2 linked regions of the Diceros bicornis minor genome follow. The protein of the gene in region 2 interacts with the protein of the main gene of each other region in a biochemical or structural test. Links are inferred from orthologs where the notes say so. Each region holds a gene or a part of one and is shown on either strand. Other genes may lie near its edges. The genes, in order: DOK1 and LYN.

Evidence for each region.
Region 1: of the proteins of LYN (region 2) and DOK1, one has a biochemical effect on the other in vitro, tested with the Homo sapiens proteins (2 studies listed by BioGRID, with this or other methods). The link is inferred for Diceros bicornis minor from reciprocal best matches to the Homo sapiens genes LYN and DOK1.

What each region holds. Positions count from the first base shown.
Region 1 is NC_080751.1:14,465,724-14,469,625, forward strand, and holds the start of DOK1 (docking protein 1), read right to left. Parts: upstream 2,470-3,902; 5' UTR 1,801-2,469; coding exon 1,741-1,800; intron 1,391-1,740; coding exon 1,091-1,390; intron 921-1,090; coding exon 827-920; intron 633-826; coding exon 448-632; intron 213-447; coding exon 1-212. UniProt on the Homo sapiens protein: DOK proteins are enzymatically inert adaptor or scaffolding proteins. They provide a docking platform for the assembly of multimolecular signaling complexes. DOK1 appears to be a negative regulator of the insulin signaling pathway.
Region 2 is NC_080772.1:9,709,891-9,713,792, reverse strand, and holds the start of LYN (tyrosine-protein kinase Lyn), read right to left. Parts: upstream 2,452-3,902; 5' UTR 2,263-2,451; intron 1-2,262. UniProt on the Homo sapiens protein: Non-receptor tyrosine-protein kinase that transmits signals from cell surface receptors and plays an important role in the regulation of innate and adaptive immune responses, hematopoiesis, responses to growth factors and cytokines, integrin signaling, but also responses to DNA damage and genotoxic agents.

The sequences.
Region 1 (3,902 bases), on a different chromosome or scaffold from region 2:
TGAGGGGGGGAGGTCAACTTCCCCTCTGCCACTTCTCCTTCATGGGAATCAGCTCTGAGAACATCCTGCCCCTGACCAGCCTTTCCTTGGGCCTTCTGCCGGTGGATAGCAGTCTCAACTGCCTGAAAGATGTCATTTCCCTGTGCCGTCTGGAAGGTGAAGGTTCCAGGGCCGGAGGGGCAGCGGCGGCCAGCCTCAAAAGAGAACATGACCTGAAGAGAATGTGGAGAGAAACACATTACCAGGAGCCATGAGAGGAGGTGAGTCACAGGGCCCTACTACTTAGGGGATCTACAAAGAAAAGACTACCTGGAGAAGAGGGTGGGGTCATGGGCTAGGCAAAGAAGGGTTATCCAGAGGGCAGAGCTTTCCACCTTCCTGTCCTGCCCCACCTCCCCCACAGCTGCCCAGACCTAGGAAGCCAGCCCTCCCTGACAGCCCCCGCACCTTGTCCCTGCCATAGCGACGCAACAGAGTGTAAGGCCAGAAAAGGAGTGGCTCTAGTATCTGCCTCTGGGCCCCCGCGGTCAGGAGAGTGAGCCTCTCAGCCTCCACCCTCAGCACATAGGAGCCGTGCAGGCCGCAGCGCTCAGCGGCTTCAGTCCTCTGCACGGTTACCCAGAACTGGGATCCTGGAAGGAATACACAGTTAGACGGGCACCTGGCCGGGACTAGGGGATGGGGCAGATTGTCCAAGCACCCACTTGGAAGCCAGCTCTCAGGAGCTTCCTACTTCCCCAGGGGTCCCTGGACCCTCTAATTATCCCCTTCCCAAGGGCACTCTTCCTTTCCACCCCATCCCTGCCCGGGCTTCTCAGGCGTCTACCTTCCCAGGTGGGGCTATACAGGGAGTTCTCCAGCATCTCCAGGGCAGAAAGCTTGGGTGGGTTCTCAGCAGGCGCCAGAGCCCAGCTGCCTTTCTGGGGTAAAGAGAAAGAGAGTATCGAAGACCCTGTAATTCCCTCAACGCGGCTCCCAGGATCTGAGCCAACCCAGTTCCTCCGCCGCAGTAACTGCCCCCACCCCCGCATCGCCTCTAGGCCCGGTGCGGCTCGCAGGAGCCCCTCGCCGGCAGTCCCGGCCCCCTCACCGGAAAGGCGTTGCGGCACAAGGTTTGCACCCAGGCGGCGCTGGACGGCGCGTCGGCCGCCAGCAGGTGGGAGCGCTGCGCGGTGTCCAGGCGGAAGGCAGTGGCGCCAGGCTCAGGGGGGCTTTCCACGGCCACGGGGGCTACGCTCACACACTCCGCCAGACGGATCACCTTGCAGTCCAGGCGGCGCGAGCCCCCTCGGCCCCCTCCAGAGCTCGACCCCTTGTGGTCAAAGAACTCGAGCCGCGCTACGCCGTGGGGGCTGGCTGGGTAGAGCACGGCCCAGGTCTTCCTCCACCTCTGCGGAGAGAGAGCGAGAGACGCTGCGGAGGGGGCGGGCGAGCACGGGCAGCCCGGGAACCGACGGGGAAAGAGAGACCGGCGCTGGCCGATATTGGGTCTGAGGCTTCCCGATGGGAGGCGAACTCGCCCAAGGAGGAAGCCGCTCCGTCTCCCCACGACCAGAGAGGGCGTACCCGGAGCCCGGCGGGCGCTTCCCCGGAGTGTGCAGAGCAACCTCGCGGGAACGTCACAGGGCTCTCCAGCTCCGGGCGCCGCGCTCCAACCCGCTGCCCGCCTCCTCCCTCTTTCTGGGCTCTATCGCCCACCCCTAGCTCTGAGGGGGTTCGGCAACCCTTGCCCCTGACTACCTTGGTACCGAAACGCTGACTCTGCAAAAAGAGCGTCCCTTCCATCACGGCCCCGTCCATCGCCCGCGGCGGTTCCTTTCGCACTTCCTGGCCCCGGGGCTGCGGGCGGGGCGGGGCGGGGCGGGGCGGGCCCACCGGAGGCGTTGCCGCCCCTCCCCCGGCCCCTGCGGACCTTGAAGGATCAGGAAGGAGAAGAGCAAGAAGGAAGGGGAGGGGGTCCACCTCCAGGTCCCTGCCCTTAGCTCTAGGACGCGCGCAAGTGGCTCCACCAAGAGAAACCTCGCGGTTTTGGCCAGAGGGCTCTGGCGCCTGGGCTTGGGGGCTGCGTGCGATGTCATATGCTCAACGTGACATCAGAGTGAAGGCCGTGACATCACCTCGAAAATGGTGACGGTCGCCCTGGGGCACTGGAGGGGCCACGTGGGCCCTCATGGCCTCAGTTCCCCTGACCGGATCCGCCCCCAGCCTGGCCGGAGTTGGGCTGTTTACACTCCGCGGACCCAGGGACATGGAGAAAGGGCTAGGGGCTGGGGACTGGAAGGCTTCCCGGAGCCCGGAGCCGAGTCGCGGCCTCCAGCCGCTGCAGGGGCCGCCGTCCGGGCCGGTCCGCGGCCCGGTGGCCTCTTGCGTGTCCAGCTTCCTGACCGCAGCTGCCGGGCCTCCAACCTGCGGGAAAAGAAAGCTTCATTGAGCACTCCGGGAAGGTCGGGGCGGGGGGAGGTGGAGCGGCAACGGCTAGCGTCACGGGGGAGGGGAGGACTAAGAGGAAAAGAGGAGGGAACTGGCCAGGGAGCAATCGAGGGAGAAGGCGGAATGTGGGAGGGCTCAAGGGGACGTGGGAGGGACTAAAGGAGAGGGAGGAGAGAGGGGGGGTCCAGTCTCCCCTGGCCGAGCACTTTTTTTTTGAAAGTCCTAGGACTGATCTCCAGGACCAGCATTCTTCTCCCAGCCCCTAGGGCCCCCGCTCAGCCAAAGGTAGGGGGAGTCGCGCTGCCGGCAGGAGGAAGGGGAGTTGCGGATGGAGAGGATGGTGCAGGGACCAGGGGAAAAGGGTGATGTAGGATGGAGTCGAGGGGAAGCCAACCAACTGAGGGTTTTATTATTGTCAAAGAAGAACGAGACACAAGAAGAGTGGAGAGAGGAAGCAGATATTTGGGGGGGGGGGGGAGGAGACTGCAGAGTGTTCCAAATAGGGCAGCTGGGAGGACCCTAAGGCTGGGGGCTCCTCTTGTGAGGCCCTACCCCTGGGCCCCCCAGCCACAGTGTCCCCAGAACAAAGCTGTCCTGTTGGGTTGTTTGTCTGAGTTGGGGGAAGCATGTAGGGGGTGGGGGGGCTTGCTGTAGAGAGGCTGTTCTCAGCCCCAGACAGAGGGAAGGCCTTGGCTGAGGAGCCGATTGGCGCCCTGGCCTCCGGTTGCCCAGTGACAGCGATGGCAGTGTTGGCAGGAGACTTGGACAACCCCCCACTCCCCGCCAAGCTTGAGGCCTGGCCCTCCTGGGCCCCTTGACCCTCCAGGGCATGTGAGAGCCTGTGTGCTGGGTAGAGTGTGCAGCGGGTTCTGCATGTATTCTGATCTCTGCCCTCTCTGCCTTGGAATCTGCCCAGATAGGACTCTGGGCTTGGCTCCCATTCAGGGGGCCGGAGATCCAAGGGTTTCCTAAGACCCCCTTGCCTGCCTTTCTCCACAATCAGTAGCTGTCTGTCCTCTGTCTGACTAGCTGAATGGGGTCATCTGGGTCCCTCCCACTTCTGCTCCTTGGCTCCTGTCAATCCCTGTCCTCCTCACCTGTTGCCTGCCTCTCTCCTTTTCTCCCCAATCCTGTGTGCCCGGCTTTCTCCCAATCACCTTTTATCCATCTTCAACATTGTCTTTCTCTCTGCTGTCTCTTTCTCTTTGGTCCCCTTTCAGTCCCACAGTTTCCCTTCCTCTCACCTCCTATCTGTCTGGGTCTTCCTCTCTGTGTTTCTCTTGTTCCATATCTCTTTATCTTGACCATTCTTTGACTCTTGGTCTCTAATCACTGTCTTTTGATCTCTGGGTCTCTTAGATCAGTGAGTGGGGGTAATGGAGGCGATGATGGCAGAACTAGGGAAGGACATTGGAAGGCATAACAACTAATAGTGAGAGTTTTACTTTTTACCAAAGGGAGGGAGAGCCTCT
Region 2 (3,902 bases):
TCTCCACATACCTGTGCAACACCAATGACTTTAAGATAAAGTGGGTCTTTGTGATTTGGCAAACTACTTTTGCCAAATCTTACCACTCCAAATCAAGACCTGTCTCCCAGTGATACAGCACAGTAACCAGGGCTGAACGGAGATGCCCACTTAGAACACTACAGCTGGGATAACCTGAGAGGCCAAAAAGTCCCTCACATCCCCATTTTAGACACCAGGACAGAGAGGGCCAGTAGGCTGCAAATGCCTTAGGGACCAGCCCTGTTCCTCGGCCTTGCACAGCACCAGGCTCAGAGCAGACTTGCATTCCTTCTTCTAAGTAATCTCCACTATGGGACAGGCACCAGGGCTAGCATTTTGGACCAGACAGACAAAGCTGTTCTCAAGGAGCCTTCACTGTAGTGGTGAATATAGACTATACACATGCAGACAAACCAAAATATAACTCTAGTTACTGCTATGAAGGAAATGTTGGCTGAATAAATGGCCTAAGTAACTCATCCTAAATCACAGCTCTGGTAAATGGCAGAAGAGCCCCACAACAGGCTTCTGGTTCCTCCTTTCTCTTTCCCGACATCAGCTGCCCTCTCCTCTTCACTCAGGAAGCAGGTTAGCCCACTCTGCATCCAAACAGGCCCAGTCATCAAAAGCCTCTTGTAATCAAAGTAAATTTCTTCAGGCCTCAAGACGTTTACCTCCTTATTCCCAAATAAGAAGCAGAGACAACAGAATCCCACCCTTTTCCAGCGCACTGCCCTTCTCAGGAAGGACTTGCAGTACTTAGTTAAATTACAACTCCCTATATTCTCCTGTCCTCTCTCAGTGCCTGCTCCAGTCCACACTGCTTTAGGTGTTGCCTGCACAGAGAGAACACCTCTGCCCTCCTGAACCCTGCAGCCGGCTGGGGGTGGCCAGCAAATCAAAAGTCAGTCAGAGGTGCTTACTGGCTAGTTCTCAGGGTGAGTGAGACTCCTGGGCCCTGCTTTGGGACAGCAAATCCCTGGTGTATTTATTAAGCAGATTTACTAGTAAGGCCAGGTGGCTAAATCGGACATGTAGTCTTAGGTTTATAATCAACACATTACAAAGAACCAGGGAGCCTCGTTTTTATGGACAGAGTTATTTGCGATCAATAATAATAACAGCACTGTTTATGAAATGCCTAGTATGTGCTTGGGGCCTTACGTGCAATAAATAGCTCAGGAGGTAGATATATTCTCCAAGAGATGAGGAAACCCAAAGAGCGAATTTCAATAACAGGACCAAGTTCACACACGGTTAGGAAATTGCAAGGCCTGGATTCAATTCGAGTTTCTGAGATGGCAAAGAAGTTGGGTGGATTGGGCTTAATTAAGACAGACCCATACTCACACGGGCATACAAACAAAGGAAGACACAACCACACAGCCACGCCGGCTATTAGAAGGAACATTACAAACGCACAGCATCCAGCAGACGCCGCGGTCGCCAGGATAACGCAGAACAGTGCAAACTGTCGCTGACACCCTTCCCCCAAGGCGAAGGAAAGGCAACCCCTGAATTCTTAAAATAACTCTCGCTTCCTCTCCGCCGGCGGCAGAGGCACCGGACTGCTCCTCTGCAGGCCGAGAGGCGCCGGGCTCAGCGGGAGGGTGAGCACCACGCTCCGCCGCAGCCCCTCGACGTCACGCCGCTGCCCGGCGCGACCGAGGAGGGCAGCTGCCCGCGGGCCTGCAGGAGGGCCCGCGCCGGGCCCCATCCCTCACTTCTGGGGACCCAGAGCCCAGCGGGGAGACCAGGCTGCGCGACCCGAGGAGTCCCCGCCAGGATCCCCGCCGCGCGCCCGCTCCGCGCGGAGAGGGGCTTCCCCGCGGCGCGCCGGGAGTGGCCCGAGCGGGGACAGCATCCGGCCGGCGGCTCCGCGCCAGAGGGACCCGCGGCGCGCCCGCCTCCGCGCCCGCACTCCCACCACGCCCCTGTGCGCTCCGCGGGAAAGACACCTGCGGAGCCGCCCGCCCCCGCCTTCTCGCTCCGGGGCCGGGTCACCCACGGGCTGAGGGCATCGGGGTGCCCTCGCCGCCGGGACCGGCGCCCGTGCGGCCAGGAAGCGGCGCGCGCCCCCCGCCCCCGCGGCCCGTGCCGACCCCCGCTCCCCGTGCCGACCCCGGCTCCCCGGCCCAGGGCCGGCCCCGCGCCCCGGACTCCGGCCAGTGGCACAGCCGCGGCTTCCGCCCGGTCTGCCCGGCGCCCGCGCCCACCCCCGGCCTCGCGCGCGGGACTCACCAGCTCGCGGTGAAAGTTGCGGGGCGGCGGCGCTCCACGGTGACTCGAGTTCAGAGCCGGGGGCGCGACGGGGCGGCCCAGCGGGCCCCGCGTGGGGAGGGGCTGCGGGCCGGGAACGGAGGACGCCCGGCGAGGGGCTGCGGGCGCGGGGCCCGGGGTGGCGCGGCCGCCCCGCCTGCCGCGGGCTGGAGGCTGCAGCGCGTCGGGCCCCGAGGCGCCACGGCCGGGAGCGAGCGGCGGGCGGCCCGGAGCGGCGGGAGAGGAACTGACTGTCGCTGGGCTCGGCCGAGAGGTCCCAGCTACTTCCTGGTGCTCGGATTTGCATACTGCACCCGGAGGGCGGGGAAGTGACCGTTTGGCCTCTGCCCAAGGTTTGGGTCTTTCATGTGGCCGTCGCGCAGAGCCTTGAAGGCAGAGAAACCTGGTGTCCCAGTGTGCAGCTTGGCAGAGTGGAGCCTCCTCGGGCCCAGCATTCTCAGGTAGAGACGGACAGAAGCATCTTCCAGGGAAATACTCTGAAGCCTTGACGGTCGTAGCACATCGACGAAACCTCTCGCGTCTCCTTGCCTTGCCTTCCAGCCTACTCCCCAAGGTGTTAGGAAGTGTTGTGCCCCTGGCAGCGGAGGGGGCGCGCTCTGATCCCCCCAACATTTGGAGTTTTCTAGAGAGAGAATGAGATGTGCCGAGTTTATGCTCAGGGTCTCATTGTGTTCTTAATCAGTACAGAGTAAGCTCCTGAAGGGTGTACGAGGATGTTCAGGGTATTGATGGCGGTGGTGGCTGTGGAATTAAATAGCCTGGCAATTTACTCAGTTCCTCAAAACTTCTGTTTCCTCCCGGGAAACTGGAGATAAGGATGGCTAGCTCGCGGGGTTACTGGGAGGATGACATGTCTTCTGTAAAGGGCTCACACTGTGCCCGGTACACAGTCATGGGCCCTGTTATTCTGTCATTCCTACAATCTCTGCATCCCCACATGTTGCCCAGAGCTTGACACATAGCAGGTGCCTAATCAGTGTCTGTTGAAAGAGTAAGCTGCATCTTCAAGCTCATATTCCTACTCAGTAAATGCCACTTACAAATCCAGGATGTAATGTTAGTCTCAGCCACTGTGGATGCCCACTTGTTCTAAGCAGGATTCTACTCACTGGGATGCCAACGCTGCCCTACACTGTAGAATTTACGAGGAAATAAACAGCATCCTGTAGGAGGTTTGGTCTTTGTGTTAATAATAGCCAATACTTACTTAGGGCCTATTGGGCCCCAGACATTGCCCTAAGCGCTTCAGACCTGTTACCTTTTATTGACAATGTTCTTAAGAGGCTGGCCCCACCTAAGGAGGCTGCAGCCACAGCCCAGTGGGCAAGTCCAACTCCTTGTAACACAACCCCAAACAACAATCGTTGTTACTGGTAACAGAGGATGAAGGTTTGCAAACTACTGCCTTAAACGAAGTAGGTTGGTTTATACCTGTGATGTTTGCTGGTATGTAGTTGGTTAGTTTCCTGCTGAAGAGGAGGGAGTGGGGTTACCTGTTGGAAGGTGTTGCAAGTGTGAGTGAAATCTGCCACAGATCCTATGGAGTAATTCACTACCTCAGGGCCCGTTTCCTGGACTTCTCTTCAGGGTGACCTCTCAAA